4 linked regions of the Mus musculus genome follow. The protein of the gene in region 1 purifies or fractionates together with the protein of each later gene. This does not show direct contact. Links are inferred from orthologs where the notes say so. Each region holds a gene or a part of one and is shown in the gene's direction. Other genes may lie near its edges.

Region 1 (7,972 bases):
CTGTTCCTCATACCTTGGATTTTGATAACCTCGACTAGAAGACAGCTAGCTGATTTGCAGAACATCTGTCACTTGGGGTTACTCAGATGTTTCTGTGGAAGCAATCAGGGCAAAGGTCGGTGACAGGAGAGTAACAGGAGGGAGCTGTGTCCCTTTCTGTTCACGACATCCTGTTACATTCTGTTCCTCGGAGTGACTGCAGCTGTGCAGACACCAGTGATCTCCACTGCTGCGGGAAGGACACGGCTGGCTTTGTGACTACTTAGTGTTTACACCACTTGCTTTATCTGCAGCCACAACGTAGCATGACATGCGGGATGCTGCCGGTCATTGGTGTGTGTTCCTGGGAAAGTCCTTGGACGCTGTGTAAAATACCCAAGCCTCCCCCACTCTCAGTTTACTCAATTATTCACTTGCATTGGTACAGAAAACCATCTTCTGACTTCCCTCCTATTCTTTGAGCATTTGCCTTTCGGCAGAAAGGGGTCTGCTTAGGTTCCTCTTGTGCTTTTCTTTGCCCCAATCCGGGAAACACCATCTCCCTAAGCATCTCTGGTTTCTTTTGTTTGAGAATAACCACTAGAAGCCAGAAGCCATGTTGCCTCTGAGTGTCATCCATCCATGCACTCTCAGTGGGGCAAGCTAGGGAATGTACGCACACATACACACGCACCCCTCTCTAACTACTCACCGAGAACCACGGATCTATGCGAACCCAGAGCTGCAGGTCTTGGGTCCCATTCTTCACCTTCAACTCTATTCCGGGGCAATTTCAAGCAAGTGACCAGTTCTAAACTGTTGTGGATTTGCTCACTTAATTCTGCTTCTGGGCATAACTAGTCTCTCAGCTCTACCAGTGCCCTCTCACGTGGACCCATTCCTCACCCTGCCCGTGTCTCCTCAACACATGGAACCCCACTCCAGTTCTCTAGGCTCTGAGGCCCAGGCGAGCCACATCTGCTCTATATATGAATGGATTCTCTAACTAGAGTAGGTTCTGACATGGGTGGTGGGCATATTGTCTCTCCACCAAACCACCATCCTGGGTCACTGTGGGGCACTGCTGGAATCTACTTCAGGAATGCTTACCAGCTCAGTCTACCACCTGGTTAGAGCCCTGAACTTTTCTGAAAGGCAAGGAGAGACCAGGGGTAAGAGCATGGAGAGTCCTACTAGGAGTTATAATGGGTTCTTGCATCATCTAGGTATCTCCTGTCCATGATTGACACTAGTCCACTCCGTACTGGTACAAATGCCAATCACTTGCTTCACTGAACAAGCAGGGTTGGGAAAAAAAAGTTGCTTGGCTATAAGGAGCTGTTTGCTAATCACCACTGGGAACAAATACAGTTTGTTCCCTAGAACTCTACAGGTACGATATATTGATCAAACTATCACATTTTATAACATCCTCTTTTCATCCTCCCCCCCCCCCCCACCAGTTTTTGATGTTCCTGTTTTTGGATACAACCAAACAGATAGAAGAAGAAGAAGAAGGAGAAGAAGAAGAAGAAGAAGAAGAAGAAGAAGAAGAGGAAGAAGCTGGTCACATAATTGATTGATTTGCAAATGTATTGGAGACTTAATGTATTTGTCCATGATATGTGCAGATGCCACATTGTCTACCTCAACCACTGATCAAGAGACTTTGTTTTACCCTGAGGGCCATACCCCACTTTCTATTTCCAAACATGGACATCTTGGTTTATTTTCAACAGCTGTGTATAACTCATGCTTCACACACACACACACACACACACACACACACACACACACACACACACACACACACACACTATAGGCAGGCAGACATATTTGTATATCTTACGTTGAACTACAATAGCAAAACAGAATATAGACTCTTCCAGATTTCATAAAGTCCTGGTAGCTTTCGATTAGGGGTATGTATCTCTCTGTCATCTTTGTCCAGTGCTGGGGGTAGGGAGTGGAGGACCCCTCTCAGAACAAGCGCATGGGGAAACCTCATTCTGACTAGCCCAGCAGCTAACAGATCCCCCTCTCCCTCAACTTATAGCCTCATATACAAGATACATCTGTAAAGAGCTAGCAAGCATTTCATGTATGTACATCCCAGAGCCTCCAAACCCGGCTCGGCTTAGACTGTATTTGTTCCTCGCAGAGCTGTACCTTCATGGCCACCTCGTGTGCTAACTGCAATGGTCTGCTATTTTCCACAAATGGTGGGACTGGTCAGAGGTCCCGTTAGAATGTTGCTTTCAGCACTTAGCCATTTGTCGTCCTGAGTTAGTCATAACCTCTTTGATAAAATAAAAACATTTTATCCTATAGAATTGGGGTTAAACGTAGAGGCACAAAAGAACATTGTGCAGATAAACTTATCTTCAGTGTTTAAGGATAAGCCTGGCAATTAACAGAGATGAAGTAAATGTTATCGCTGTCTCCTTACCCCCTGGGGACAGCCTCAGCAAGGGAGTTATCTGCTGCTGGCTTTCAGAGCAGAAGGTACAGCAACTGGGAGTATTTCCAATCTTAACATTGCAGATGAAAAAAGAGAGCGTATCCAGGAGTTACCGGGCCAGGTCCGGCTTGTCGTGTCCTGGTGTAGGCGACTGGACTGCGGGTTCTGTAGGGGCGCGTACAACCGCTCCGCCCGCCCGCCCGGTGCCTGAGTTTCGCTTTCCTTTGGATCTAGGGGAAAACGAAAGCTTGGCGGTGAGGGGGGCGTGGCCAGGCGTGCAGAAGGCTTGGCCGGCAGTGCCAGGGCGGCTGTGCCTAGGGGACAGCAGACACTCCTGAGCTGAGAGGCTGGGAGGCAGCAAGACTGCTCTGCTCCGCGGTGCCGCGTCCTCTTCTGTAGCCCTTTGCAGATGCTGCTCGGTCTTCGCTCTTTGGCTTGACTCCGTGCTTGAGGCAAGTTTGGGGCTAACTTTGAAAGTGTCCTTTATCCGCCAGAACTTTGCTTATACATCTCCAGATGATTAGGAATTTCCTTGGGTTCTGCAAATAGTGGCGGTCTGTATTCTTGGCATGTATATACTGGGCCAATGGATTTGCTTCCCAAGCATTTATATTATTCAGACTGTAGTCGTGATTTATGTTTAATTTAAAAAAGTAATTACCAAAGTGGCTTGTTAAAAATTCAAACAATGCAGACAGATGTGTAGAGTTGTTTCTCTTAATTTGCAACTCAGTATCATTTTTATGTATACTTTATCAGAAACATTTCTAATGGATATCTTTAACATTGCTCTGTGTCTTGCTTCTTGTTCTGTGCCTTTCTAGACCAGTATTTTAACTGATGCGTTGTATGAGAAGTGCGGATTTAGTTAAATAATTCATGGACATTTAGGTTCGGTCCTGTTTTTCCTGGGATAGACGTTTTATCAACAAATATCATTTTTATGCTCTTGTGCAAATACTCAGTCACACGTTAGGAGAAACTCCTAAAATAGAAACCAGCGGACTGAGAAACCGGAGAGATTTTTGTCCAGTATCATAAGTCAGGGTGCTTTAGACCTGTTCCCTGGCCTGTTTTTCCATCTTCTGTAAAGAAAGCTAAATATACCTTTAAGAAAAAACAACAACAAAAACCAAACAAACAAAAAAACACAACCTCCCCCAACTCCCCTGGAAGTCCAAGTTTGTGGTGTTTCAAAATTACAACTTAACTTCATACTTAATATCTTTAGAATTAACTCAAAAAGTGAGGCAAATATTTCAGAACATTTTTAGAATGTTTCCTGTGAAGTGTCCTTTGTGTGTTTGAATACCGTCACCTCCTTTGTTCATAAGAACTAACTGGGCAGAAAGTGGCGTAGCAGATGAGGTGTATGCTCCCTTCTGACTCACTACGCACTAGCAGAAGACTTTAAAAAGAGAGAGAGCTTTTTGCTTGCTCTCTCTCTCTCTTTTTCTTCTTCTTTTTTCACTCTGGAAAACCGTGCTTCATGGTCTTGGCACTTTTACGCAACATGATGTTTATAAGGAAGAAAATCACGTTGTCTCCCAATTGAGTGTATCATGTGACTGGGCTGTGGCCAGAGCCCCAATGGGCACATGAAAGGTGTATCAGCATCTCCAGGCTGAGGGCATGTCTAAGGACAGGCTAATGCATATCATCCCACACCGGCCAGAGGAGCCCCAAGTAGTGTGTTAGTCTGGGTTTCCTCTGGAGAGATCTGATTTTGTCTGTTACAGCACCATAGCTCAGAAGAGGCGAGCAGATTGTTAAGAATGAAGGCAACGCCCAGAGCAGTAGTTCATACCTTTAGAAATCCCAGGGATTTTAGCCCTAGGAAGGCTGAACGAGGCAGGGGGAGTAGAGTTTGGATCTGGTGTTTCAGCTCACACTTGTAATCACAGCATTGGAGGGGGCCGAGGCAGGAGTTTTGCTGAGACTCTGAGGCTAGCCTAAGCTACATAGTGAGATCCTATTTAAAAACACCTGTGCGCAAAAGTTTGAGGCCAGGGGATTTCAATACCAGGGCTTGTCTCAGAAGGTTTGAAGACCAGGCTACTTAGATATTGCTGGCATTGTGAATTTTATCGGGCATTTCTATCTGGGAACTGCTCTCCCCAGACCCCCAATGTGTAACAGCTAGGGAGGGACTCACCACCCAGAATTCCCGTATTGTGTCACTGGCTCGCTAGCTCTTGCTCTCAAGACCCTTGCTGATTCTGTAGCCTGTGGTGGTTATTTCCACCATCTCTCCTCATTGCAAGCTTCAGCAAGGATGGAGGTAGTCTTCTGCTTTGGAGTCAGCATGCCTCGAATCAGTGCATGAGTTTGGGAATGCAGCGTTCTCGGAGCTGGCAGCTGTATGCCTGGTTCAGCCTCATCCTGTCTGCCCACTTGCCCGACCATCGTACATCTCCACTTCCTTCCTCATGGTGCTCTGCCTACCTGCCTGTCCTCCATGCGCTGGCTCTGCTACCCAAGCCTGAGCTGTGTGTGTGCTCTGCCCAGTGAGAGAGCTGCTTCCCTCAGGCCAACGCTAGACTATGTCTGTTCCATCTGTCTGTCCATCCGTCCATTAGTTCATTAGCTATTAACTCTGAGTTCCAGATAATGAACTGATTAGCAGTAAACAAAACCTCACGTATTTGTTCTGCTACCAAAGCAAACTGCCTCCGAGCAACAACCCACCTTCCTCCAGCCTCATACCCTTGCCTCCCCACAAAGTAGTTATCTAAATTTGATTTTTACTTTCTATTTAGAATTTTATTTTTACCATACACAAGTATTGACAATTTTCCATTGACATTAAGTTTGAATATATAGTAAGAAATCAAATAATGTTTTCCAAATTTTTCTCGTGGTGGTGGTGGTAGTGATGTGTGTGAGTGTGCGTATGAATATTTGTGTGTGTTTGTGTCTCTGTGGATGTATGCGTGAAGGCCTGAGGTCACCTTCAGTGTAGTTCCTCAGTAGCTTTCTATATTGTTTTTTGAGACAGGCTCTCCTATCCTGGAGACTATATGCAGGTGTGCACAACTGGTTTTTTTATGTGAGTTCTAGGGGGTCAGACTCAGGTTACAGACTGAGTCATCTCCCCAGTCCTGTGATTGGCTGTTCTGAGCAGATATTTTGTTTTTAAAAGATTTATTTACTTTTGATTTATGTGCCCCAGGGTTTGCCTGCATATGTGTGTGCATCACACAGAACAGGACCCTCAGAGACCCTAGAGCTGGAATTCTGAGTTGCCATGTGGGTCCTGGGTTCTCTGTAAGAGCAGCAAGTACTCTTGAGGCTAGGTCATCTCTCTAGCTCCCTTGAGTAAATATTTGGCTTCTGAGATTCAGCCTGTTGTGACATGTGCTGTAGCCTATCCACAGCCATTGATGAATGCACGTTATCTGTGGGCTGTATAATACAAGCCATGCTGATATGATCGTGTTTCACATGTCTCCAAGGACACATTGGAGAATTTCCTTACAGGGGTTTAGATGTAGTTCAAGTGTAGATCAGTTGCCTAGCACTCCAGAAGGCCTAGATTCATCTTAAGCACTGCAAACAAACTAGCTAACAGAGAGGGGGGGGGAGGGGAAAGGGGAGGAGAAGGGGAGGGGAAGGGGAAAGGGGGAGGGAAGGGGGAGGAGGGGAAGTGGGGAGGGAATGGGGAGGAAGAGGGGAAGGGAAAGGGGGAGGGAGAAAATTTGGCATTGAATTTCAGTTTAAAAGATGATGATATGAAAAATTTTCCTCAGTTGATTTGGGTCTTTTTATTACTGTCTCATAGTATCATATAAAATATCCTATTTAGGAGGCTGGCATGGGATGGCAGTGGATAAAGACATTTGCTGCCAAGCTGGACAACCTGAGTTTGATTCCTGGGGCCTATGTGGAAGGAGGTGACTGGCTAACAGGTTGTCTTCTGACCCCCATTTGTGAGCCATGGAATTCATGTATGCACACACACACACACACACACACACACACACACACACACACACACACGATAGATAAATAACAACAAAAACTTCTAATCTTTAAAAATCATGTTTAGGTCCAGCAAGATGGCTCAGCAGGTAAAGGTGTGTTCTACACAAGCTTGGGGCCCTTGTTCAACCCCCAGACGGAAACCACTCAGTTGAGCTGTCTTCTGGTTTCTGTGTATGTGCTATGGCACACATCCATGTGTGTGTACACACACATTCCTAAGCACATATCCATGTGTGTGTGTGCACACATACATTCCTAAAATTTAAAAAGAAAAAAAAATCCTATTTACCCTTCCCCTCTCCAATACTTAGTTCAGTAAAAGTTTTCAATAGACATTTCATTTTTAATTGGCACATAGGAATGGTACCAATTCCTCCTGGGTGTGGTGGCCTTGTTGCCTGCTATTCTGATACTCAGGAGGCTGAGGCAAGTCTTGGCTACAGAGTAACATCTTTCCACCACACACCCTCCTCAACTGGATTTTTATAATCAAAGGCATAGTGTATTGCTTCTCAATTCAGCACATTTGTAGTGTGTGGTGATCAGATTCTGTCAGAATTACTGACTGTTCCCAAAGGGATAGGGTAAAATGACATCATATCATGGTGTCACTTGGGTTGCCACGACTGGTAGCTTACCAGTTAGTAACTTTCTTCACTGTTGGTGTTTCCTTCCATTTTCTGTTTGGAGTTACTTATGCAAATTTACTTATGCAAATCTTCTTAAAATGCTCTGTAAAACTTACCCATATCCCCTTTCCCCAGAAAACCAGCTTTTCCACACCACCCATATTACTTTACTCTTTGCATCAAGATTCAACAAGGTCTCAATAAGGTGTCATTCTGTAGCCCAGGCTGGCCCCAAACTTATTATTCCTTTTCCTCAGCCTCACAAGAGCTGGAATTACTGGTGTTTAGCAACATGCTTGGCCTAATACCCTTAGCTCCTATACCCTTCTACCTTCTTGTCTTTAGTAAACTTGGCTACAGTCTGACTTTTTCCATGACAACCAGGCTTAGGTTACTCATTAAGCCATTGAGTTCTGACTGACTCCTTTTACACTCCATTGGCCAGATTGTAAACTGGTACAAGACACAAATTAAGAATGTTACGTTCTGGTGCTGAAGAGGTGGCCTAGGATTCAAGTGCATACTGCTCTTTCAGAGGACCAGAGTTTTGATTTGGGTAGCTAATATCAGCCTGTTATTTGCGCTCCAGGGGAATCTGGAGCCCTTTTTTGGTCTCCAACAGTACCTGCATTCATGAGCACAAATCTACACACAGACAGGAAGAATTTATATACTAGATAAATGCAGACTGTGTGAGAGTGAGGACAGGAGTTGGGATTCCTACAACTGTGTTGATGCTAGGTGGGCATGGTGGTCTCCCTGAAATTCTAGTGCTTATAAGGTGGGGGACAGGGAATTCCTGGAGTAAGCTGACTAATTAGACCAGACTGTATTGGGTCAGCCCTGGGTTCACCTGAGAGACCCTGCCTCAATGAATAAGATGGAAGGAAATCAAGGAAGACCCCCAATACCAGTCTTT
Region 2 (7,189 bases), on another chromosome or scaffold:
GGGGGGGGCACATGGACAAAAGGAGAGGGGGAAGTCTGAAGTGAAGTGGAATTTTGGTTTACTGCTAAGTTGTATTTATTTTAATTTTTTTTTACAGTTTGCTTAGAAAAAGAGTGCGTATGTGTGTGTGTGTATGTATATACACACACACACATACATAATCAAGAGAGAAAAATATGAAAGTATGTGTAAACCAGAGGACAACTAGTAGGCATGCTCTCTCCTTCCACCATGGAGTTCTGGGAATCGAACTCATGTCTTCAAACTTGTCCGCAAGCCCATTTACTTGCTGAGTCAACCCACTATCCCTTTCCTGCTGTTTTTAAAAACTAACTCTGAGCAAGCCATGGTGGAACACACCAGAACTTTCAGTACTTCAGAGCAAAGGGGCAAGAGAAATGTAGGGAAATACAAGGCCAGCCTGGGCTACACAAAGAAATAAGGAAAGAAAGAGAGAGAAACGAAGACACTAACACTGCTCTTTGTCTCCACATATTTTCTCCCTGGAACAGCTTCCGGAAGTTCAACATTCTGACCTCAAACCAAAAAACCTTGACCCCGGAGGAGGGCCAGAGACAGGGCTTAATTTGGGACTTCGGCTTCTTGGTAAGAAGGGTAAGAATTGGAGTCTAAGCCGGGCGTGGTGGCGCACGCCTTTAATCCCAGCACTTGGGAGGCAGAGGCAGGCGGATTTCTGAGTTTGAGGCCAGCCCGGTCTACAGAGTGATTTCCAGGACAGCCAGGGCTACACAGAGAAACCCTGTCTCGAAAAACCAAAACCAAAACTAAAACAAAACAAAAACAAACAAACTAAAAAAAAATTGGAGTCTAATCCGGAGGAGCAGGAGCTGGGGCATTTCCAGGCCTTGGCCTCTGGGTCCCTTCCCTGACGTTGTGTTTCCTGAATTCGCAGACTCTGGTGGAGCAACGCGCTGTGGGTGCAGGAAAGGGCAACAAGGTAAGGCTGGCGGGTCACTGGAGCGGTGAGCTGAGGCCAGGGACTCAACAGGCTCTGATCACTGTGACCCCTCAGGGGCCGCTGGCAGTGACAGAGGAGTTACATGTCATCAGCTTCGTGGTTGAGTACGTGTACCAGGGTCTGAAGATGAAGCTGCAGGTGAGTGACGGGAAGCGGGGAGCGAGAGAGGCAGCAGATTTAGAGGAAGGGTCAAGGAGGGCACCAACAGAAGCGTCCTGGAGTGGGTGTCCTTGCCCACGCACGGACGCAGATGCCTGCAGTTATAAACATCCCGTTCTCCACCATAACTCCGGTCTTCCTCCCAGACGGACACTCTCCCTGTTGTGATTATTTCTAACATGAACCAACTCTCCATTGCCTGGGCCTCCATTCTCTGGTTCAACATGCTCAGCCCAAATCCCAAGGTAGGAGGAGGAGGAGGCGGCAGCAGCGGAGGCGGCGAGCGGGTGAGGGGCAGAGGTCGCAGGAAGGGCTGCTTCTGAGCCGGCTCACCTGAACCCTGCAGAACCAGCAGTTCTTCTGCCAAGCTCCGAAAGCCCCCTGGAGTTTGCTGGGACCTGTGCTCAGCTGGCAGTTCTCCTCTTACGTTGGCCGAGGCCTCGATTCTGAGCAGCTGGGCATGCTGAGAACCAAGCTGTTTGGTACGGTTTTTCTTTTTGGTCATTCCCTAGCCTTGGCTTGCCCCTACCAGAGTCCTCTGCCTGGCCTTGGCCTCCTTCAGTCATCCGTCTGTGACTCTGATCCACAGGAAAGAGCTGCAAGATGGAGGATGCGCTGTTGTCCTGGGTAGACTTTTGCAAGGTAACACCCTGCAGCCTGTGTCCCGCTAGTCCCCGGTCCAAACACTGGGCACACCTCTTCCCTTCCCCCCACCACGGGCAGCTCCACATCCCTTCCTGCCTCTCTGTTCCTCCTTCAGCGAGAGAGCCCCCCTGGTAAGATCCCTTTCTGGACCTGGCTGGACAAAATTCTGGAGCTGGTGCACGACCACCTGAAGGATCTCTGGAAGGATGGGTAAGGCCTGGCGTCGATTTCCTTAACTGAGCTCAGGACTGCACTTTGGGCGCCCCCTGGTGGCACAAGGGAAAGAAAAAAAACCAACAACAAAAAAACAAAAACAAAAACCCAACCCAATACGGTGCAAGTCCCCATTAGTAATAGCAGTTGTGGTCTGAATTTGTCAAGCATCCACTGTGTTGCAGAGCCTGGAGCCTGCAGGGTGCTTCTGTTCGCGCAACCCCTCTGACCACACTGAGTGGCGGAGTACTTCCACCTTCAGTTCCATGAGGAAACACGCTTAGAGAAATTGGGAACTCCTCGATCAATGGACAGAGTTGTGGGGGCGGGGTGGGGGGCACGAGTGGAGGCGCGGAGGTGTGTCAGTATGTCTCTATTATGTGGCTCTGGCTGACAGTCCTGGATCTTGCTGTGTAGACCACATTTGTCTGTCTACGCTTTCCTCTGCCTCCCAAGCGCTGGGATTAAAGGCATTCACTCCTATGCCCAACCCTATTATATTTTTATGTATTTATTTTGTGTGTCTGTCTGTCTGTCTGTCTGTGTGTGCACGTGGGAGCGCCTGCCTGCGCACACCCGAGTGCATGTGGAGGTCAGAGTATAGCTTACAGGGGTCGGTTCTCTCCTTCCACCATGTGGGTCCTAGAGATTGAACTCAGGCAACCAGGCTGGCGTGAGGTACCTTTCGCTGCAGAGCCATCTCCTCACCCCTCACCTGGGTGCTCTCCTCAGTCTGTCTACTCTGCTCCAGGCGCATCATGGGCTTTGTGAGCCGCAACCAGGAACGCAGACTGCTGAAGAAGATGTTGTCTGGCACCTTCCTACTGCGCTTCAGTGAAACTTCTGAAGGGGGCATTACTTGTTCTTGGGTGGAGCACCAGGATGACGGTCAGCACCCTCCCCCGTACCATTCCTGCAGTCTGCTTTCTGCCAGGCACCCCATACGGACCCTCCCACCCTGACCCTAGGTCCGCTCTTGGAGTGGGGGTGGTGTCTGTTTGGGGTCGGTGTCTGTTTGGTCTGGGAACCCCGGGCCTAGTCTCACTCACTTCATGTTACCACACTATGTCCTTCAGATAAAGTCGAAATCTACTCAGTGCAGCCCTACACCAAGGAAGTGTTACAGTCACTCCCACTGACAGAGATCATCCGCCACTACCAGGTTCTTGCCGAAGAGAACATCCCCGAGAACCCACTCCGCTTCCTCTATCCCCGAATCCCTCGGGACGAAGCTTTTGGGTGTTACTACCAGGAAAAAGGTTGGGGTCTTTAACATACATCCTTCCTAGAATGAAAGTGTTGTCAGATATTGATAGATTCGGCTCCCTCCCTTCACACGCAGGACAGGGCTATACAGAGTGTGCAGTAAGGAGGTAACCTTGTCAGGACCGTCTTGCAATAGGGGAGCGCTGACCTGTGTGACCAGCAAATTGATCTCTCCCATCTCCTGTCTGTCTCCCCACAGTTAATTTTGAAGAACAGAGGAAATATTTGAAACATAAACTCATTGTGATCTCTAACAGGTGAGACACAAACCCTTCACTGGGAGTTCTCTGGCTGACAGTGCTTCCAGCTGCCTAATTCCAGTTGCTCCCCACTCCTCTCCCCCCTCCCTAACTCACCAACCTCTGGTGTTTCCCCCTTTGAGCTGCTCCTCTCTCATGGCTTCCTGCTGCCATCTGTCTTTCCACTGTCTCCCTTATAGTAATGATCACAACCGTTCCTGTTAACGGGACCTTTCCTGATGACAGTAATAGATTTTCTGAAAAAAAAAAAATTTTTTTTGTTCGGTCCTTTAGAGGACCCACTGGGGTAGGTAACAGCAATGGTGGTCATGTGAGTGTCTTTTAAGTTACACGGCTTGGTCAGATCAGTCAACCAGTCAATCAGTTGGTCGACTTCTTTTCTTGTGGTTGTTCTGTTTGAGACAGAGCTATTGGCCTGGAACAGGATATGTAGATCAGGCTGGCCTTGAACTCACCTAGTCTCCCTGCCTCTGCCTCTCAGGTGCTAGAGGTAAGGCACTTGCCACCAGTGCCCGGCTTATTTTTCAATTTACGTGTGTGCACGTTTTGCCTGCATGTATGTACGTGTACCACTTTTGTGTCTGGTGGCAGTGGAGGACAGAAGAAGGTGTCAGAATCCCTGGTCCTGGGATTACAGAAGTCTGGGGGCTGCCATGTGGGTGCTGGGATTCAAACCTGGGACCTTGAAAGAGCATCAGTACTGCTCTTAACCGCTGACCCACCTTTGTTGCTTACTCCTTTGTTTGATGCAAAGTCTCATGTCGCTGAGGCTGGTCTTCCTCAGCCTCCCCAAGTGCTGGGCTTACACCCCCATTTCTTTTTTTCTGTCCTTCATTTGTTTGTTTTCTGAAATAGGATCACACTCGGAAGAAGCCCAGGCTTGTCTGGAGTTCATTATGTAGCTATCCCTCACTAGCCTTGAATATGTGACAGGCTTCCTGCCCTGGCCTTCTGAGTGCTAGAATTGTTATAGGAGTAAGCTTGCTCCGCCTGGGATTGGGATTCATTTAATTAGCTATTCTAACGGTGACACAGTACCCCACTGTGGGTTTGCATTTTCCCGATAATAAGTTAAACGCCTGTTTTTCATACCATTTGCCATGTGTGTATCCTCCTTTTGAGGAATGTCTGTGCAGGTCTTCAACCCAAGCCAGGGGTGGCAACATGGGCCTGTAATCCAGCACACGAGAAAATGAGGCAGGAGGATTGAGCATTTGAGACCAGGCTGGGTTACATTAATGAGACCCTGTCTCAAAGAAAAACAGTAGCTCTTTGAGCCATTTGTAAATAAGATTATTTGCTTTTTGAAGATATATTCACTTTTACCGATATGTGGGAGGGCTTTGGCTTCCGTGCCTGTGCACCACATGCCTTGAGTGCCCTCAGGGGCCAGAAGTAGTGGTCACCAGATCCCCTGGAACTGGAGTTACAGAAGATGTGAGCCTCCATGCAGGTTCTGGGAACCAAACCCCAGTCCTCTGCAAAAGCAGCCAGTGCTCTTGACCACTGAGCCATTTCTCCAGCCACTTATTTCCCTTTTTACTGTTGAGGGTTTTCTAGTTCCTTATAGCTCCTGGATATTAAGTCTTGGTTGAGTGAATAGTTTAGAAGTGTTACTTCCCACATGCAAGTTGCCTGTTAACTCAGGTGATTGTTGCTTTTGCTGTGAACTTTCTTAGTTTGACTTAATTGCAGTTGATCTGGTTTCTGCTTTTATTTTGTATGCTTTCAGGGCTAAGTTATTGTCTATAGCACAGTTGCAAGGTTTTCCCTTTGAGATTTATTTTATTGTAATAATACATATGTGTCTGTGTGTGGTATGTAGAAGAGGACTTCCCATCTCCAGGGTCTGCAGTTATAGGCAGTTGTGAGCTGTCCCATGTCGGTGCTGGAAATTGAACTTAGGACCTCTGCAAGAGCAGAATTCTCTGCAAGGTTTTCTTTTAGAATTTTATTTTTTAAGTTGTCTTTTTTTTTCCCCTAGACATTCTTTTAGAATTTTATTTTTTAAGTTGTCTTTTTTTTCCCTAGACAGGGTTTCTCTGTGTAGCCCTGGCTGTCCTGGAACTCACATTGTAGACCAGGCTGGCCTCAAACTCAGAAATCCGCCTGCCTCTGCCTCCCAAGTGCTGGGATTAAAGGCCTACGCCACCACACCTGGCTGGTAGATATCTTTTTTTAAAAGATTTATTTGTTTTATTTTTATGAATACAGAGTTGCTCTCTTCAGACACACCAGAAGAGGGCATCAGATCCCATTATAGATGGTTGTGAGCCACCATGTGGTTGCTGGGAATTGAACTCAGGATCTCTGGAAGAGCAGACAGTCCTCTTAATGGCTGAGCCATCTCTCCAGCCCTCTTTTAGAATTTTATAATTTCAAGGTTGTTTTGTTTTGTTTTGTTGGTTTTTTTCTGAGACAGGGTTTCTCTGTGTATCCCTGGCTGTCCTGGAACTCACTCTGTAGACCAGGCTGGCCTCGAACTCAGAAATCTGCCTGCCTGTGCCACCACTGCCTGGCTAATTTCAAGTTTTATGTTTAGGTCTTTGATCTCTTTTGGGTAGGTTTTCTTTTTTTCTTTAAGAGTTTTTGTTTGTTTCTTTGGTTTTTTTCTTCAAGGCAGAGACAGGGTTTCTCTATGTAGCCCTGGCTGCCTTGGAACTTGATCTGTAGACCAGGCTGGTCTCTAACCCACAGAGGTCTCCCTGCCTCTGTCTCCCGGGTGCTGAGATTAAAAGTGTGTGTGACACCATGCCCTGCGTGAGAGGTATTTTTTAATTATGTATATGTGTGTGGGGGGGTGTACATAGGAGTGTAGGCACCTGTGGGACCAGTGTGTGTGTGGGGGGGTATGTACATAGGCGGGTAGGCACCCATGGGACCAGAGTCCTCTGCTCTGAGAGGACCGGGGTCCTGGAGCTGGACTTACAGGCAGTTGTGAATCTCCTTACAGGGGTGCTGGGAACTGAACATGAGTCCTCTGCACTTATGTTACGTACGTTATGCCACTCAGTGTGCACTCTCAATACCCGAGCCTTCTCTCTAGCCCCCTGTGTTGATTTTTAAGTCCTGTTTATTTCTGTACGTGTGTATGTATGTGTACACATGTGTATGCGTACCACAACCCATGTATAAAGGTCAGTGAACAATTGGCAAGAGTTGGTTCCTACTTTCTATGGTGTGGGTCTTGGGATTGGACTTGAATTGTTGGGTTTAGTAGTAGCTGCCTTTACCTCATGAGCCATTTTTCTGGCTTCATGATTTTTATATGTGGCAGATTATACATATCTAGTTTAATTCTTCTGCAGATGGATTTCCAGTATATTGAGGAAACTGTACTCTGTGTGTGTATGTGTGCGTGCGTGTGTGTGTGTGTGTGTGTGTGTGTGTGTGTGCGCGCGTGCGTGCGTGCGTGCGTGTGTGTGTGTGTGTGTGTGTGTGTGTGTGTGGTGTGTATATATTTGTCACCTTCATTAAAAAATTAGCTCTAGATTCATGGATTTATTTCTGGGTCTACATTCTGTTTCCTTGGCCCATATGTCTGATTTTATGTTGGTACCGTACTATTTTGGTTACTATATCTTAGTATTATTTTATTATGTGAGCTGTTGTTTTGAAACAGGGTCTCATATATCTCAAACACACTATATGGCTGTAGGGCTATCTT
Region 3 (7,189 bases), on another chromosome or scaffold:
AGCAAAAGAGAGTTTATCATGTATTTATTTGCTCACATTTAGTTCCCCTGGTTTGAAGTTGAAAACTCAGAGTGAGTCGTCATTTCATCACTAGGTGGCACCTGAGGATCACAGATGGTCATGCTTACTCGACACAGTTACGACAAGTACAGAATCCACAAATACAAATAACACTCAGAGCAGACGTTCTTAATAATGCTAAGTACTGCTCGCCCTGATTAATCTGTGGGCACATGATTGAAGTGTATTGAATGTCTTAATGCTTTATAATCATTCCTTCATAGTTAATGATAATGTCTTTAGGCAGACTGATCCGTGTGTATCATCTAAGTTGATTATGACCATGAAGTTGAAATCTTGTAGGATCTGTTTGCTGCTAATTTCCTGTGAGAAAAATGAGTGCTCTGGCTCCTTGTATTAATTCAAACCCAACTCTGGGTGTTGTTTTATAATGTTTATGGAAGAGCCTGATTCTATAACCCCCTATTAGATACTCTTATCTCCATAGATATGAAGGAAAATAACTTAGGAACCCTATAGACACTCAGTAAGGAAAATAACTTAGGAACTCTATAGATACTCACTAAAGAAAATATAAACATCTATGCTTTACTGTCCAAAAAAAAAAGCTCAGATGTTAATTTACCTAACAGTGAGCAGGACACCTAACAGTAAGCTTGATTATAAAGACTGACATATTCAAACCAAAGCCAATTCCTAAATCTTCCTAAAGTAACTGGATGCTGAGCATGAATCACCAGTGCTGGATTCTTTTTGAGGCTTGGAAAACAAGATGGTCTCTGAATGGCCAAGACCAGGAAATGGAAAAAGTCTCCAAAAGAGCCAGGCTTACTTGGGACTTTGCATCTAAGCAGCCTTGTTACCTTTAAGCTGAGTATGAATTACCATAGCATGTGCTGGTAATGCTAAGCTGTAGGTTTCGGATCCTGCCTCGGAATACTTTCTTACTGTGTAATGTGACTAAATTGCATCCCTATGACTGCTTACCTTTCAAATGGAAATGGATTACTTGTGCTAATCTGGGGGAAAACACCACCAGAATGTGCTCATCTTGTGGTGAGCACTGACTGAGAAGTAGTTACACGCTTTACACAGCCTATGAAGTGGAACTGGAGCCTGACTAGCTAGTTCACGTACCCCAGGCTACAGCTCCTGCCCTAGTGTCTCCTCTTCCCTTTGGGAAGTGATCGACCCAGTGTAGATTTTGAAGAACAACTATTTGATCACGATCACTAGCTATGCCCAACTTTGTTGTTGAGTTTTATATAATAAGTTGTCTTAAGTGGACTCACACCTAAGGAGCACATAACTGATCCTAGTATATGAAGTGTGCCATACATGTTAGAACCACTGGTATTCTAGTGTTGGGTTGCCTACCATTAACTGTCCTGTACTGTTTGTTACCTGTGTACGGCTGAGAGAGTGAGTTGGCATGTTTAAAGCCATGTGCTTTACGTGTAACATGAGGAGAACATTAGCACCTCCTTGTGAGGCTTTATAAAGAGGGATGTGGGCAGAGCACTCTCTCAATGCCAACTAGCAAACAGTCTATAAAGATGTAATGAGTGGGGTGGACCTTTCCTTGAGGAAAGGACCTTGCCATAGCATTTAGCTACATAGAAGGTAGGAGATTGGAGATGAAGGTGCGAACCTAGTGCCCTTCACAGTAACAGTCTAATGGTTTTGATCTGACAGATACCACGCTAATTTTCATTTTTGCTTTTTAATGCTTTTAAAAATACTTGGATTTTTCTAAGTATTTTTTAAAATAGAGGAACTTGACAGAGCAGTGTGCCCATGTGATAGCCATTAGTTTTAGCAATAATGTGGCATATGGTTGGTCTGTATTTTTATAACTTTTTAAAAGTAATAAGCTAATTACCTATCATAAAGCTTACCCATGTGAAGTGTGATTTATTGATTTTTGTGAATTTACCCAGTTGTCAGCCATCACAGTCAACTTTCAAACACATCACCACCTTGGCAGGATACCGTTTACATTAATTCCTTTTTGATCCTTATCCCAAGGCAATCACTGACCTGCTTGCTGTCCCTAGATTTCTCCTGGGCATTTTATAAATGGGCATTGTAATATGAGGTATTGGGGTGGGGGTCATTGTGTAGACAGTAACACATTTTGCGTGTCCTTCATAGTGGGCCTTTTATATATATCTTTAGCCCTTTTCCTTCCATTTCTTACCCCCAATTAGAGTTATTTGAAAGCTGATTTTATTTTCTTTAAATAGTATATGTTCTTTTTCATTTTTATTTTTCTGAACCACTTCTCAATCATCTTTACTTTAATTTTCTACTGTGATTAAAAATTGCCTTATGTCTTCATGTATTTTTTGTGTTTCTGCTTTAGAATTAAGAGGTTCATTTCAAAGATTAAAACTGCATTTTATCTTCACTTTAATGAAAAACTCATTCTTAGCAAATTCAGATAATGGTGGTTTCTAAACCTTTGATGAGACTTAAAAACTGCCTCTATCATATTAAACTCTGCTTCTGATTTTTGGGGGTTTTCTATTTGTTTGTTTGTTAACTCAGGTTGTCGGAAGAGGAGCTTTTGGAGTAGTTTGCAAAGCTAAGTGGAGAGCAAAAGATGTCGCTATTAAACAGATAGAAAGTGAGTCTGAGAGGAAGGCTTTCATTGTGGAGGTAAGCTGAGACGTTATTTGTATCCACTAATTCTTCACCAGAGCTACTCTGATCTTAAGACTATAAAACACAGTGTTTCCCACCTTTCTTTTTTCTGTGTACATGGACGTTAGCAGTTGACTGAACTGAAAGTAGTGCCTCCATAGGAATGTTTTTCATTTTTTTGCTTTAAATTCTGGTTAAAAGTTATTAGGGGAAAGTATAGTTACAAGAGTCGCTCCATGAATTCAAGTGCACTTATCCACGGGTTCCAAATGTATCTCAAGGTTTCCTATCTTAATTTTAAAGTGGTATTATTCCTCCCAATACCTAAAGTTAAGAATTTCTTAGAATGTTATAGAAATAAACACCTTTCTAGTGAGAAACTACTCCACACACTTAGACTTATAAGAAAAAGCTCTTGACTGAAAGTGTGGCCAACTGTGGCTAGCACCCAAAGAGGGACCAACCTCAAATAAAAGATTTACTAACTTAATTCACTTTAGGCTTATGCATTCCACAGATTCTGTCATCCTTAAATCTCTTCTAGGTCCTGGCCCCGGGTTACACTTTAAAAAATATAAGTCAGGAGACTGTAAGTCTGGCCACTTACACAGATGAGAGATTTGCATAGTGCCAGAATTATTATTATAACCAGGGTTTTTTCTTTTCAAATGGTTGTTATCTAGGGTCTTCTTGCCCATCTGGCAGAATTATGTTTTTGTCAAGAAGAGAACAGGGGGCTTTATGCAGCCCAGGACTTAACTTTAGCTGTGACCTTGAGCTGCCCCTTACGCAGCCAGTTAGAGGCAAGTTCTTTGGGGGTGGCCAGTGAATCCTGGTGAGCAGACATTTACATGATAACAAAGTAGTTTAGCTCATCACCTTCTGTCTGGTTAGCAGACTACTTAGCTTTGGGGCATTTTGGAGGCAGCAATGCCTTAAAGTTTAGTCTGTGTGGTTGCTGTCTCCTAGAAAAATCTGTTAGTAAGCCCTTTATAACATCAGCTTTATTCGTTTTGAGTTTCTTCTACATAATGGGTTTTATGAAATTAACCATGTTGCTGCTCTTGTTTTCATTGCTTGGTTCTAGGTCTGCTGGGCCAGTTATTACTCATCACTAGCTTGTCAACTTCCAGATGGTATACTATTATCTCATTGCAGTCTCTTCATCCTCCTGAGTTTCTACCTCACAAACAACAACAAAACCTCACCTACTTATGAGACTCAGAGAAAACGGAAAAACATGCTTGAATAATGTGCTATGTGAAGTTAATGATGAGTTTTGTCAAGATGGAATGTTGATAGATAATAAATACATAATAGTAAAAAGTTACATGAAATAACATTTTAGAAAAGAGTCCGCTAATTTTCTAAGGATGAAAAGTCCATGAATATCAACTATAAAGAAAACTGTCCAGTGGCATATGATAAAAAAGAGGTTAAGTTATGGGACTGTGGAGAAAAGCAGGAGAGAGCAGGGGAAAGAGGGGGACGAGGGAGAGAGAAGGAGCAACATGATGTTGTATGAGAAAGACACAGTGCAGAAACTTGATACCTTACACTGGGGACCAGCCTCAGTGTAATTCCTGGCTTGGGGAAGGCTGAGACCGGAAGTTGGAGTGTCAGTCTGTCTCTCCTACCCCTGAAGCTCCTCTCCACTTTTTTGTACTGGGGATTGACTTGGGATATATGGTGGACTGGAGCTAAAGCCTAAGGCGTACTAGTCAAATGCTCCACAACTGAATGCCCCCCCCTTCCACTCACACGCACACGCACACACACACACACACACACACACACACACACACCAAGCTCTCTGCAGTAACTACAAGACAGGAAATGAAATTAGAGGCAACTAACTATTCAGACAGAGCATGTATTTCATGTCAGGTAAACAGAAGCTCAAATCTGACTATAGAATCTTTCACAGCTGCTTTATCCTCTCTGGAGCTTAACCTCAAGGGTCATATTAAAATGGAAGTAATAGGTCCTATCTTTCAGAGTCTGAACGCAGCAGGAATACATACAGAATAAGTAAATTGATACCTGTAGGAAAGTACCACACTTCTGGTGTGGGTGGCTCAGTCAGTACCATAACTGAGATGGTGCCTTGACTTTTGGCAGCTGGTTTCCTCAGTTTATCCTGGCTTGTTCTTAACTCCCATTACAGCACTTTGTGCATGGTTTAATGATCTCTCTGTCTTCATATATTTGATTATGTCTGTGTCCCCACTTGAACTGTAGGATAGGGATTCTACAGGCACTGGGGATTGCCACTGCCTGTGGCCATCGTGGTAACAGAACATACCTGGTATGATTTGAACAAATGTTCTATATAAGATTTGAACAGCACGGGTACATAGCACCTGAAAACCCAGCACTTCTTAAGGACCCATAATTTGTTGCAGCTCCGGCAGTTGTCACGTGTGAACCATCCTAACATTGTCAAGTTGTATGGAGCCTGCCTGAATCCAGTAAGTCCCTCTCCATCTCCTACAGGAAACAGTGGCAAGTGTGTCCGTTTATATGATTTATAAGGCTGTTTTCATCTGTTCCACTGTAGCTTTATTTCTGAAAATATTTTCTGCATTTCGTTTGCTTCAAGCCCTAACAAGACAGTATGTTGGTGTTGTCATCTCAGGTACCTATTAGCCTTGGCCACACCAACTTATAGTGCTCCTTTATCTTGAGTAAACATTTATTCTCAAAATAATTTAAATTCCAGAAAAAATGTAATTTGTTCTTCCAAATTTTTACCTTCCCCACTGATGGACCATGCGTGTAATTGTTGGCCAAGACAGATCACCTGACATTCCTGTGTTCCCACTCATCTGCCTTCCTTAGCTAACCTGACAGTGGTCAGTGAGGGCCAACAAAGGGGAACTTGTCAGTCCTTTCCTTTTCCTCTTTTCTGCCCTGTAACTGCCTACCTGTAAGCAGTCAGTGGGTTCTGCTTCTTCTACTATAGCCCATCTGAGTAAAGCCTGTGCTGTCGTGGAGTAGTGCATACCCCTCCTGTCCGTTCTCCTCACTAACCGAGGTAACCCATAACTCACCTCGTTGTAAGACTTGATGTCCTAGAACATAGCTTTATTAGCACTGGTCCTCAAAAGGTCTTATAATTCTTTTTCCCCAAAATTTTGTGATCTATTTTATAGATTAATATTCATTATAATATACTATATCATATATAACTATATATTATTACATTATAATATAATATATATGAGTTTTATATAATTATACTAATATATAACATAGTATTGTATTTTTATATTATAATAGATATTAATTTAGTGATATTATGTAATGTATAGTAATATTATGCTAATCTGAGCAGACACCTTGAAGACAAGTTCTTTGATCACAGATACCTGTACCTTCTGTTAGTGTCATTCACAGAGTAGGAGCCAAAAGAATAATTTTCAGGACAGTCAGGCAGTTAACTAAGTTTTCAGCAGGGAGGGCCTAACAATGTTGCCACTCCAGTAAATTCTGGCATATATTTTCTTTAGGTATGTCTTGTGATGGAATATGCAGAGGGGGGCTCATTGTATAATGGTGAGTATTCACTAACCCTGCTTTTACCTAGGAGACTGAAGCAATTGGAACGCTTTTAAGAACAACTAAATCACCTTATTGTTGTCACAGTTTACCTTCAGAGTTCTCAGAGGAAGTCATTGTGCTTTTTGGGTTTGTTCATTTGTTTGTTTTTGGTTTTGTTTTCACTGCTAAGGACTTAGGGCAAGAACGATGTATGACATTTATATACATTTTTAAGTTAACAATATATTATGTTCAAAGTTTGTGAAGTAACAGTTGTTTTTAAATACATATGTGTAGACTTTTTCCCACCCTTCTGTTTTTTAGTTTGAAGCCTTCATTTTAGAACTCTGGGCTATATTTCATATTACCGTGCTTTATAACGCTTCCTTTTCAAAACATAAAATGGCAAGAACAAACGTCACAGAACGTTTTAGATTTTTACTTTCCTATCGTGACCATGACCAAGGCAACTCAATAAGAGAGAGTTTAATCGGGCGTACGGTTTCAGAGGGTGGGGCTTTGTAGCAGCAAGCATGTGAGAAGGCATCGAGCACACTGGGCATGGCAGAGTCTTGAAATCTCAAAGCCCACCTCCACTGACATGCTTTCTCTAGCAAGGCCACACCGCCCAGTCCTTCCCAAACAGTGCCATCATATGGAGGCCAAATTTCCACACATGAGTCCATTGGGCCATTCTCATTCAAACTACCAGTGCTACCACACAAAACCTTCTGCACTGCTGGCATTACCCTTAAAATACCAACTTCATGTGTGTGTGACTTGTCCCTGAGAGCTCTATAAAACCAATAGCATTTACTTTTAAGTTACCGTTATTTTACATACACATTTAGTTATACCCACTGTCGTCGTTGTTGATTTGTGTCTACTGCTCTCATTTTATTTGCGAAAACTGCTACTTTTTTAGCTACAATACACAGGATAGTTGTAAGCATCTTATATGGCCATCTTGTCTCAATAT
Region 4 (7,189 bases), on another chromosome or scaffold:
TTCTGCAACTAGAGTTAACAGACCCCTTGTTGTCTCGTGTGCTCTAGGAACCAAACTCCTGTCCTTTGCCAGAGCAACAAGTGCTCTCAGCCACAGCTCCGCCTTTTGAGTCCTTCTACCTTATTTTATAAGACCAGGTCTCTCAGTGACCCTGGAGCTCATTGATATTGCTAGACTGGCAGGCAAGCATCTATTTGCCCAGTCCTGAGGTTATAGGTAAATGCTATGCCGCCTAGGTTTTTGGGGGGTTTTTCGTTTTTTTGTTGTTGTTGTTGTTCTTTTTTCACAAATGCTACAAATCAAACTCAAGTACTTTACTGACTGAGCCAACTCCTCAGTCCCAGAACTGTTTTTTTGTTTTGTTTTTTGGGTTTGTTTTTGGTTTGTTGTTGTTGTTGTTGTTTTGGTGTTTTGTTTGTTTGTTTTTTCCTGGAACTCACTCTGTAGACCAGGCTGGCCTCGAACTCAGAAATCTGCCTGCCTCTGCCTCCCAAGTGCTGCTCCACCACTGCCCAGAAGAACTGGTTTTACTAAAATAAAATTACTATGCAGACCCCAATGTAAATGTAGGTAAATACAATAAAGTCAGCCCTCTCAATCTATGGGTTCTGTATCCAGATTCAACCATTAACAGATCAAAAAATAATCAGGAAAAACTACTGTATCTGTATTGAACATCTAAGAACTTTTCTCGGCATGAGTCGCTGATCAGTTGAGTGTAACACACAGCATTTACATCATATTAGATATAAGTAAGCAGACAAGAAGATGTGCATAGTGACTTCAGTGCCCTTGGATTTGAGCATCCAAAAGGGAACCTGGAGTCATTCTCCCAGGGATACAAAAGCATGCCTTGACTGAGAAGTGGCTTTTATCTAGGAGCAAGCTTTGCTTACAAAGGAATGGTTTTGACAGTCTCAGGGCAGGTGTGCTGCTGCCATCTAGTGGTCAGCAGCCAGAACTGCTGCTGAACAGCACAGAAATCCAGCAAAATTGTCAACACTGTTAGGATTGAATAATCCAACTAGAAACCTGATAAGTTAGCATTTACACCTTCAACTTTTTAATTCATCTAAAAGACAATGTGGGTGAACACAGGCGTTTCAAGTCAGGTGGGGAATAACCATAGTGTTGGTCAAGCTGACACTTGGCTGTTTTTGTGCTCTGTGTGTAACACTGAGAGTCTTAATTTGTACAGCTAAGAGGTTGCAAAAGGAATGGTGTTTGTTGTTGTTCTTGTTGTTCTTGTTACTCCATAGCTCAGCCTTGGGCTAATATTCAATCTAGCTGCATGAAGCCAAATCAATTTAGGTACTAAAATCAACCCCGCCCGGTGTCTTGAGCGTGTTATTAGCTCACCCTGGGGAGAGGTAATTTACTTATTATGTTTAAAAAGATGTGAACCAAACATCTTGAAATGCATCCTAACACTTAGGTTGTATTTGGAAACTGTTTGTCTGGGGCTTGAGAAGAAGAAAGATCTGTCAGGCTAACATAATTGGTCTTCATGAGTGGTCTGAGATCTACATTTGAACCATTGTCATTGCAGGTGCCTGTCTTCAGACAGAGAGGCAGAGTAGACCTGTAAAACTGCAGCCATGTCTTGATTTCCTATCACTCCTTATGCGGTACTTCGACATTTTTCCCTTTAAACACTTTATATTCTTATAGAATAATTATATGGCTATTCTCAGAAATCAAGATGATATAAAAATACACAGAGCAAAACAGACACACCACGAGCAGACTTCCTGAATGCTATGAATGAAGCTAGAATGGAGGGAAGAGAGTAAGGCGGAGTGGGTAGGTCGCCTGTAGCAAGAAGGGACTGCCTTTGTATAGAACGGCCAGGGAGGACCTCTGATCCTATAAACACCTGAATACATAGAGGTTTGTGGAAGGACATTCTGGTGCAAGATGTGGTGACCAAAGAGAAGACCTCTTATCTAAATGAGAAATACGTAGGCGCTTGTGGGAGAACATTCTGGAGCAAAGGACCATGGGTACAAAGGCCTTTGGTGTGGGAGCTAACCTATGAGGTGGAGCAAAGGACCATGGGTACAAAGGCCTTTGGTATGAGGTGGTAGCAGAGGTAAGGCCGCCAACACAGTAGGAAGGAGCTGTGGCTATGCTGAGCGAGGCAGTGCTGTGACCTGACCTACCCTTGAAACTATGCACTCTGGTGCCACATTGAGAAAAGGCTGGAGGTGGGGGTGTTGGGGGAGGGGCAAACAGGGAGGACAGTTAGGAAACTAGGGTGGTAATGGCTGAGGTGCTAAGAAAAAGGATCAGATCTGAGCACATTTGGGACTGGCATAACAGGATTTGGTGACAGCAGACTGGGTATGAAGAGGAAGTAACACAGTTAACTGTGATCTCATGATCTCCAAAGTTTGGCCTAAGACACTGAACCCATGACATTATCAGGTGCTGTGCAGTTTAGGACAGGGACAGAGCCAGGGCAGGAACGGACTGTTTTAGACATAAATCTGGGTGAGTGCCACATAGCCAAATCAGTATGTTGAGAAAGATTTGAAAATACAAAACTAATATAGAGGAAATGTGACCACAGATACATCTATGAGAGTAATCACTCAAACATTACGTGGAGGTATCTATTTTAAATCAGTTACATTTTAAAAATTTGTTTTCCATTTAAAAAGTACCTCAGTTTATGTCACTGTCACCCTCCTACAATTTCTGCACAGTGTATAATCCCAGTGCTCGCTCTAGTGGCAGGCAGGTCACAGCCTGGCATGGTCCCTTCAACCCTTTCCTTTTCTCTACTTGTAGGAGGTTGTGTGTTTTGGTGAAGATTACAGTGCACTTTGTGTGTATTTTGTTTTGTTTTTCATGCAAAACCTTTCCTGGCATTTGTTTTCCACTTACTTGTTTTGGAAAGCGGAGGCTCTCAGGGAATGTATCATGGCCAATGCATGATGATCAGAGGCCTTGCTGGAGTCTGTTTCTCCTTCCACACCGCACTTGTGAGGCCTGATGGCTAGTGCTTCTGCTGAGAGCATCTAGGCAGCTATTTCACTAGTATCTCTTGCTCCACCCTTCTGCAGATGTTTATGCTCTTGATGTATTGTTTATCCTTTTTATGTTTTTTTTTTGTTTGTTTTTTTCGAGACAGGTTTTCTCTGTTTAGCCCTGGCTGTCCTGGAACTCACTTTGTAGACCAGGCTGGCCTCGAACTCAGAGATCCGCCTGCCTCTGCCTCCCAAGTGCTGGGATTAAAGGCACGTGCCACCACCACCCGGCCCGTATTGTTTATCCTTAAGACTATTAATCTATTTAGCTTATGTCAAACACACCATTTTTCCGACACTTCTATATGATTAGCATGGCAGAGCTTTGTTTTATTTTTGAGGCAGAGTGTGACTATCTAGCTCTGGTTGGCCTAGAACTGGCTATGTAGTCTAGACTGGTCCACCGTATGCAGCAGTTCTTCAGCCTCTGCCTCTCTGCCCTGGGATTACAGGTGGCTTTTCTTTGTGTGGACACTCTCTACCTAACCCGAGAGTCCGCAAGTAATTCATTGAAAGTTGCATTTATAACCCAAACATATATGGAATTTACTGGGTTGTAATCTGAGTTGGAAACTCATTCTTACAGTTATGGCAGGACAATTTTTTAATAAGTGTCCATGATTCCCCTCACTGAGCTGAAGAGACCTCCTGGTAAGCTGCTGTTTGCCTTTATGGACTGGCATTTGGTTCTATTGGGGTTTGTCTTTCTGTTTTCTGTTATGAATTGGGATTTCCTGGTCTTTCCAGCCAGTTACTTTGCTACATAAAGAGTTGTAATCCAGGGGTTCCCACAGTTCCTTTAACATTTACGGCAGATTCCCAGGTGCTCTCCTGGATGCCCTCGGCAGGAAACTTCTATGTTGGGACAGTCCTGTGTAATGTCAAACTTCTCTATCTGCCTGCCTCAGATGCCCCATACGTCCTCCTCCTGCCTTGTTTAACAGTGACCATGACCATGACATCTGTTTGCCTTTTTCTAGATCTTTGTACCATAATTAAACGATGCCCCAACCTCATCCGCCTCGACTTAAGGTACTGTTTTAGATCAAACTTTGGAGTACATTGGCTGTTTGTGAACTGGGGGAGGACCTAAAGCAGGGATTAAGCAGCAGTACTCTCGACCATCATGGTTTGACTCTTCCTTTCGGTTGCAGTGACAGTATCATGCTAAAGAATGACTGCTTTCCAGAATTTTTTCAACTCAACTACCTCCAACACCTCTCGCTCAGCCGGTGCTATGATATAATACCTGATACTCTACTGTAAGTATGATTTACATTTACGCTGGTGAAAAAGCACAGGCCAAAACTCGGTAGTAAAATCCATCTTTAGATGGATGAATACATGTTCAAAGCATGAACATTGATATTGATGTGCCACAAAATGCCCAGGAAAGAATATCGAAATAGTTCACAGAATGTCCAGTAATCCTGAATCGACTAAGCTTATTAACTAACTAACAGCTACTGTCTTAGAATGCTATCCTAGTGTCTGTGAAGGAGGCTTTTTCCTCTGGGGCACCCACAGAGAGCACGGAAGGCATGCCCAATGTGAGTGGGAAACATCTCCCATTCATTTTTAAAGCTCACAGGGAATTCCTGTAATCTAATGATGGGCATCTCGGATCGTAAGAAGAGGTGAGAAGAACTGGTCTATGAGAGCCTGATGTTATCTGAAAAGAGGGCATCTTATGTAGGTCCATGAAAGTTAAGAATCTCATGCAGGCATTGCTTACTTCATTCCAAAGTCTTCCTTACACCAAATAAAAGTGTACAGCAGTTTCACTGCAAACCACTAGGGCTTAGAACCTTGCACTCTCCCGGGTATACTGCAGAAGAGTCATCTGGCTTAGAGGAGAGTATGGTACTATTTATCCTACTATCAGAATGCCAGTTTTTAATTCTTCCTACCTAGAAATGGTGAATTTAAAAACAAATTATTTCTCAAATGAATGGATTAGATCAGTTTCAGTAATAAATGATCTATAAAGAATTCGGTAAAATTGGGAAGTCTGGTAATTATGTGACTAAACCAATCATTTTAACTAGTCTCATGTGTGTTGGCTAGCTAGTGTCCTGTTTAGAAAAACACTACCTAAAAAGGATGCAAATGTTGCAGCTCAAATTCACATGCATGGAACTCTGATACAAATCCCCAAATGCAGAATTCTAGCATCCACAACTCCTAGGATCTTCTAGTGTCTTTGAGGTGAGGAACACATCAGAAGTTCTTAATAGAAATACCAGTGTGTCTCAAGGACACTGTCCACACAGCAGCCGGAAACACACTGAAAAATAGCTCATGTCCTATCTCAGAGATGGGAAGGGGCAAGGCCTGACTTAGTGTCTTTTTATTGTTTTTGAGATCAAGTCTCACCATTCATTCCCTAAGCTGGCCTATGATCCAGCCTCAGCCTCTTGTATGATGACTGCCTTTTCATTAAACTTGAACTAAGAGCCCTAAAAGATGCTATCTTAACTATTTTACACAGATTAAAGAGCATCCTGTAAACGTATCCTGTTCCTCTCATGCTGAAAAGTCAGACGCCCCTGACTGGTTTTCCGGCATTGTAGCCAATGCACACAAGAGGCAGTGATGGGTTTTTGTGGTGGGGTCTCATCCTGCCTCCTGCATGGATGGCCAGGAGGCGCCTCCCAGAGCTGCTGCACGAAGCTCCCTCTGCCATCTGCCAACACTCGCTTTTCCTTACTCCCACCGAGCTTCTTCTTTTAAATATTATCCACCATAGATGACAAAGAGCTTGGCTGCCTGGATATCCCAGAACCTGAATTCTCCCAAGTGTCCCCATTCTCAGATGTCACATAGGAGTTGTACTAGGGACTGCTCTCCTCTTTAGTGGTGATGGGTGTAACCTCGTCTACAGTGCATGGCAGTTCTTTGTTTGTTTCTACATTCCAGAAGTTCAAAGATGGAATGTGTTCCTCTTCTGTTTTGATCTCTTGTGACCTCCTGAACTCGATGCCCCTTATAAGCCAACACATTTCATTTCTACGTCCTGCTTCTATTTACCAACTTACTCTGCATCTTGTACCCCACCACATGCAGTAGACAGTGTGGTGCTTACCTCTACCATTCATACACTAGAGGGGTAATGGGATGACCATGGAGCCTCGGCACAGATGGGCCTCAGATCTAACAAACCATCTGCTTTCAGCCATTCAGGGGGCATCAGTGCAGACAGGTGAGTAGCATGGACACTGTATAGAATATGCTGGAAGGCTGAGCCATTGGCAGCCAAGTGACAATACAAACCGGCTTTATTTGACTACATATTGACTGTGACAACATAAAGGTCACTGCTGTGCTCACTGATCCCCTGGGGGGGTGGGGATGGGGGTTGCTGAATTTCCAAAATAAACATTCCCTGTCCTTCGACTTTGCACTATGTCCCAACCTAGAACAAACACAGACCAGGGAGATGAAGCTGGGCATACAGACCTGTTTAAAAAGAATCGGCACCAAAACCCAGAAAGTGTTTTCTTTAGATAATCAGGGTCACGTTTGTGTGACCCTCAGATCTCACCGATAACAAAACTGTATATCGGGTAACATGAAATGTATACAAAAAAGGCCTGTCTACCAGTAATAGGGGAAAAATATGGAAAGAAAAGGTCATTGTCTGCTGTAAGTTGGTATCCCAGATTTTTATATGTAGCCTGTGTAATCCCATGTAGAGAACACCTTAAGGAAGTCACTGGTGGGTTTCGGTGAAGCAAGGCCTCGGTGAACCATTGTTAAGCCGCCATCAGGTCTGTGGGTGGCCTCTGTTGAGAGTGCATAGTTCAAAGAAAGATCATGGCCAGATACCTAACTTCCATGTGTTACATCACAGTGAAATGTTGACCATGTCTGGCTTGCTAGCTCCCGTATCACAGCAGACCTTCCAGAGAGCTATGTGGACTAAGAAAGGTGGCAAATTCCAGCTCAATTTAAAAAATTAAATAAATAAAAATGAAATAAAAAATTAAAACTACATAGTTCCACGGGAGCCGCCCTGAATGAAACGCACAGGCTTGGTTCTGGACCCAAAGGTCGGGTCAGGTCTGGACCCTCACGGCGGGTCAGGCTGCTTTATATCCCCGCTTTTTTTCCCCCTGGATTATTTCCATAAATCACTTCTTACAGATGATGTCAGT

The links.
Region 2: the proteins of Usp18 (region 1) and Stat2 purify together in Homo sapiens (affinity purification with western blotting; 6 studies listed by BioGRID and IntAct, with this or other methods). This does not show direct contact. The link is inferred for Mus musculus from reciprocal best matches to the Homo sapiens genes USP18 and STAT2.
Region 3: the proteins of Usp18 (region 1) and Map3k7 purify together in Homo sapiens (affinity purification with western blotting; 4 studies listed by BioGRID, with this or other methods). This does not show direct contact. The link is inferred for Mus musculus from reciprocal best matches to the Homo sapiens genes USP18 and MAP3K7.
Region 4: the proteins of Usp18 (region 1) and Skp2 purify together in Homo sapiens (affinity purification with western blotting; 4 studies listed by BioGRID and IntAct, with this or other methods). This does not show direct contact. The link is inferred for Mus musculus from reciprocal best matches to the Homo sapiens genes USP18 and SKP2.

What each region holds. Positions count from the first base shown.
Region 1 is NC_000072.6:121,243,171-121,251,142, forward strand, and holds the start of Usp18 (ubl carboxyl-terminal hydrolase 18), read left to right. Parts: upstream 1-2,735; 5' UTR 2,736-2,892; intron 2,893-7,972. UniProt on the Homo sapiens protein: Interferon-induced ISG15-specific protease that plays a crucial role for maintaining a proper balance of ISG15-conjugated proteins in cells. Regulates protein ISGylation by efficiently cleaving ISG15 conjugates linked via isopeptide bonds.
Region 2 is NC_000076.6:128,282,200-128,289,388, forward strand, and holds part of Stat2 (signal transducer and activator of transcription 2), read left to right. Parts: intron 1-512; coding exon 513-606; intron 607-913; coding exon 914-958; intron 959-1,033; coding exon 1,034-1,117; intron 1,118-1,284; coding exon 1,285-1,383; intron 1,384-1,484; coding exon 1,485-1,620; intron 1,621-1,727; coding exon 1,728-1,780; intron 1,781-1,898; coding exon 1,899-1,993; intron 1,994-2,747; coding exon 2,748-2,884; intron 2,885-3,072; coding exon 3,073-3,255; intron 3,256-3,461; coding exon 3,462-3,519; intron 3,520-7,189. UniProt on the Homo sapiens protein: Signal transducer and activator of transcription that mediates signaling by type I interferons (IFN-alpha and IFN-beta).
Region 3 is NC_000070.6:31,972,252-31,979,440, forward strand, and holds part of Map3k7 (mitogen-activated protein kinase kinase kinase 7), read left to right. Parts: intron 1-2,571; coding exon 2,572-2,682; intron 2,683-5,072; coding exon 5,073-5,138; intron 5,139-6,179; coding exon 6,180-6,225; intron 6,226-7,189. UniProt on the Homo sapiens protein: Serine/threonine kinase which acts as an essential component of the MAP kinase signal transduction pathway. Plays an important role in the cascades of cellular responses evoked by changes in the environment.
Region 4 is NC_000081.6:9,113,966-9,121,154, reverse strand, and holds part of Skp2 (S-phase kinase-associated protein 2), read left to right. Parts: intron 1-4,012; coding exon 4,013-4,064; intron 4,065-4,186; coding exon 4,187-4,294; intron 4,295-7,189. UniProt on the Homo sapiens protein: Substrate recognition component of a SCF (SKP1-CUL1-F-box protein) E3 ubiquitin-protein ligase complex which mediates the ubiquitination and subsequent proteasomal degradation of target proteins involved in cell cycle progression, signal transduction and transcription.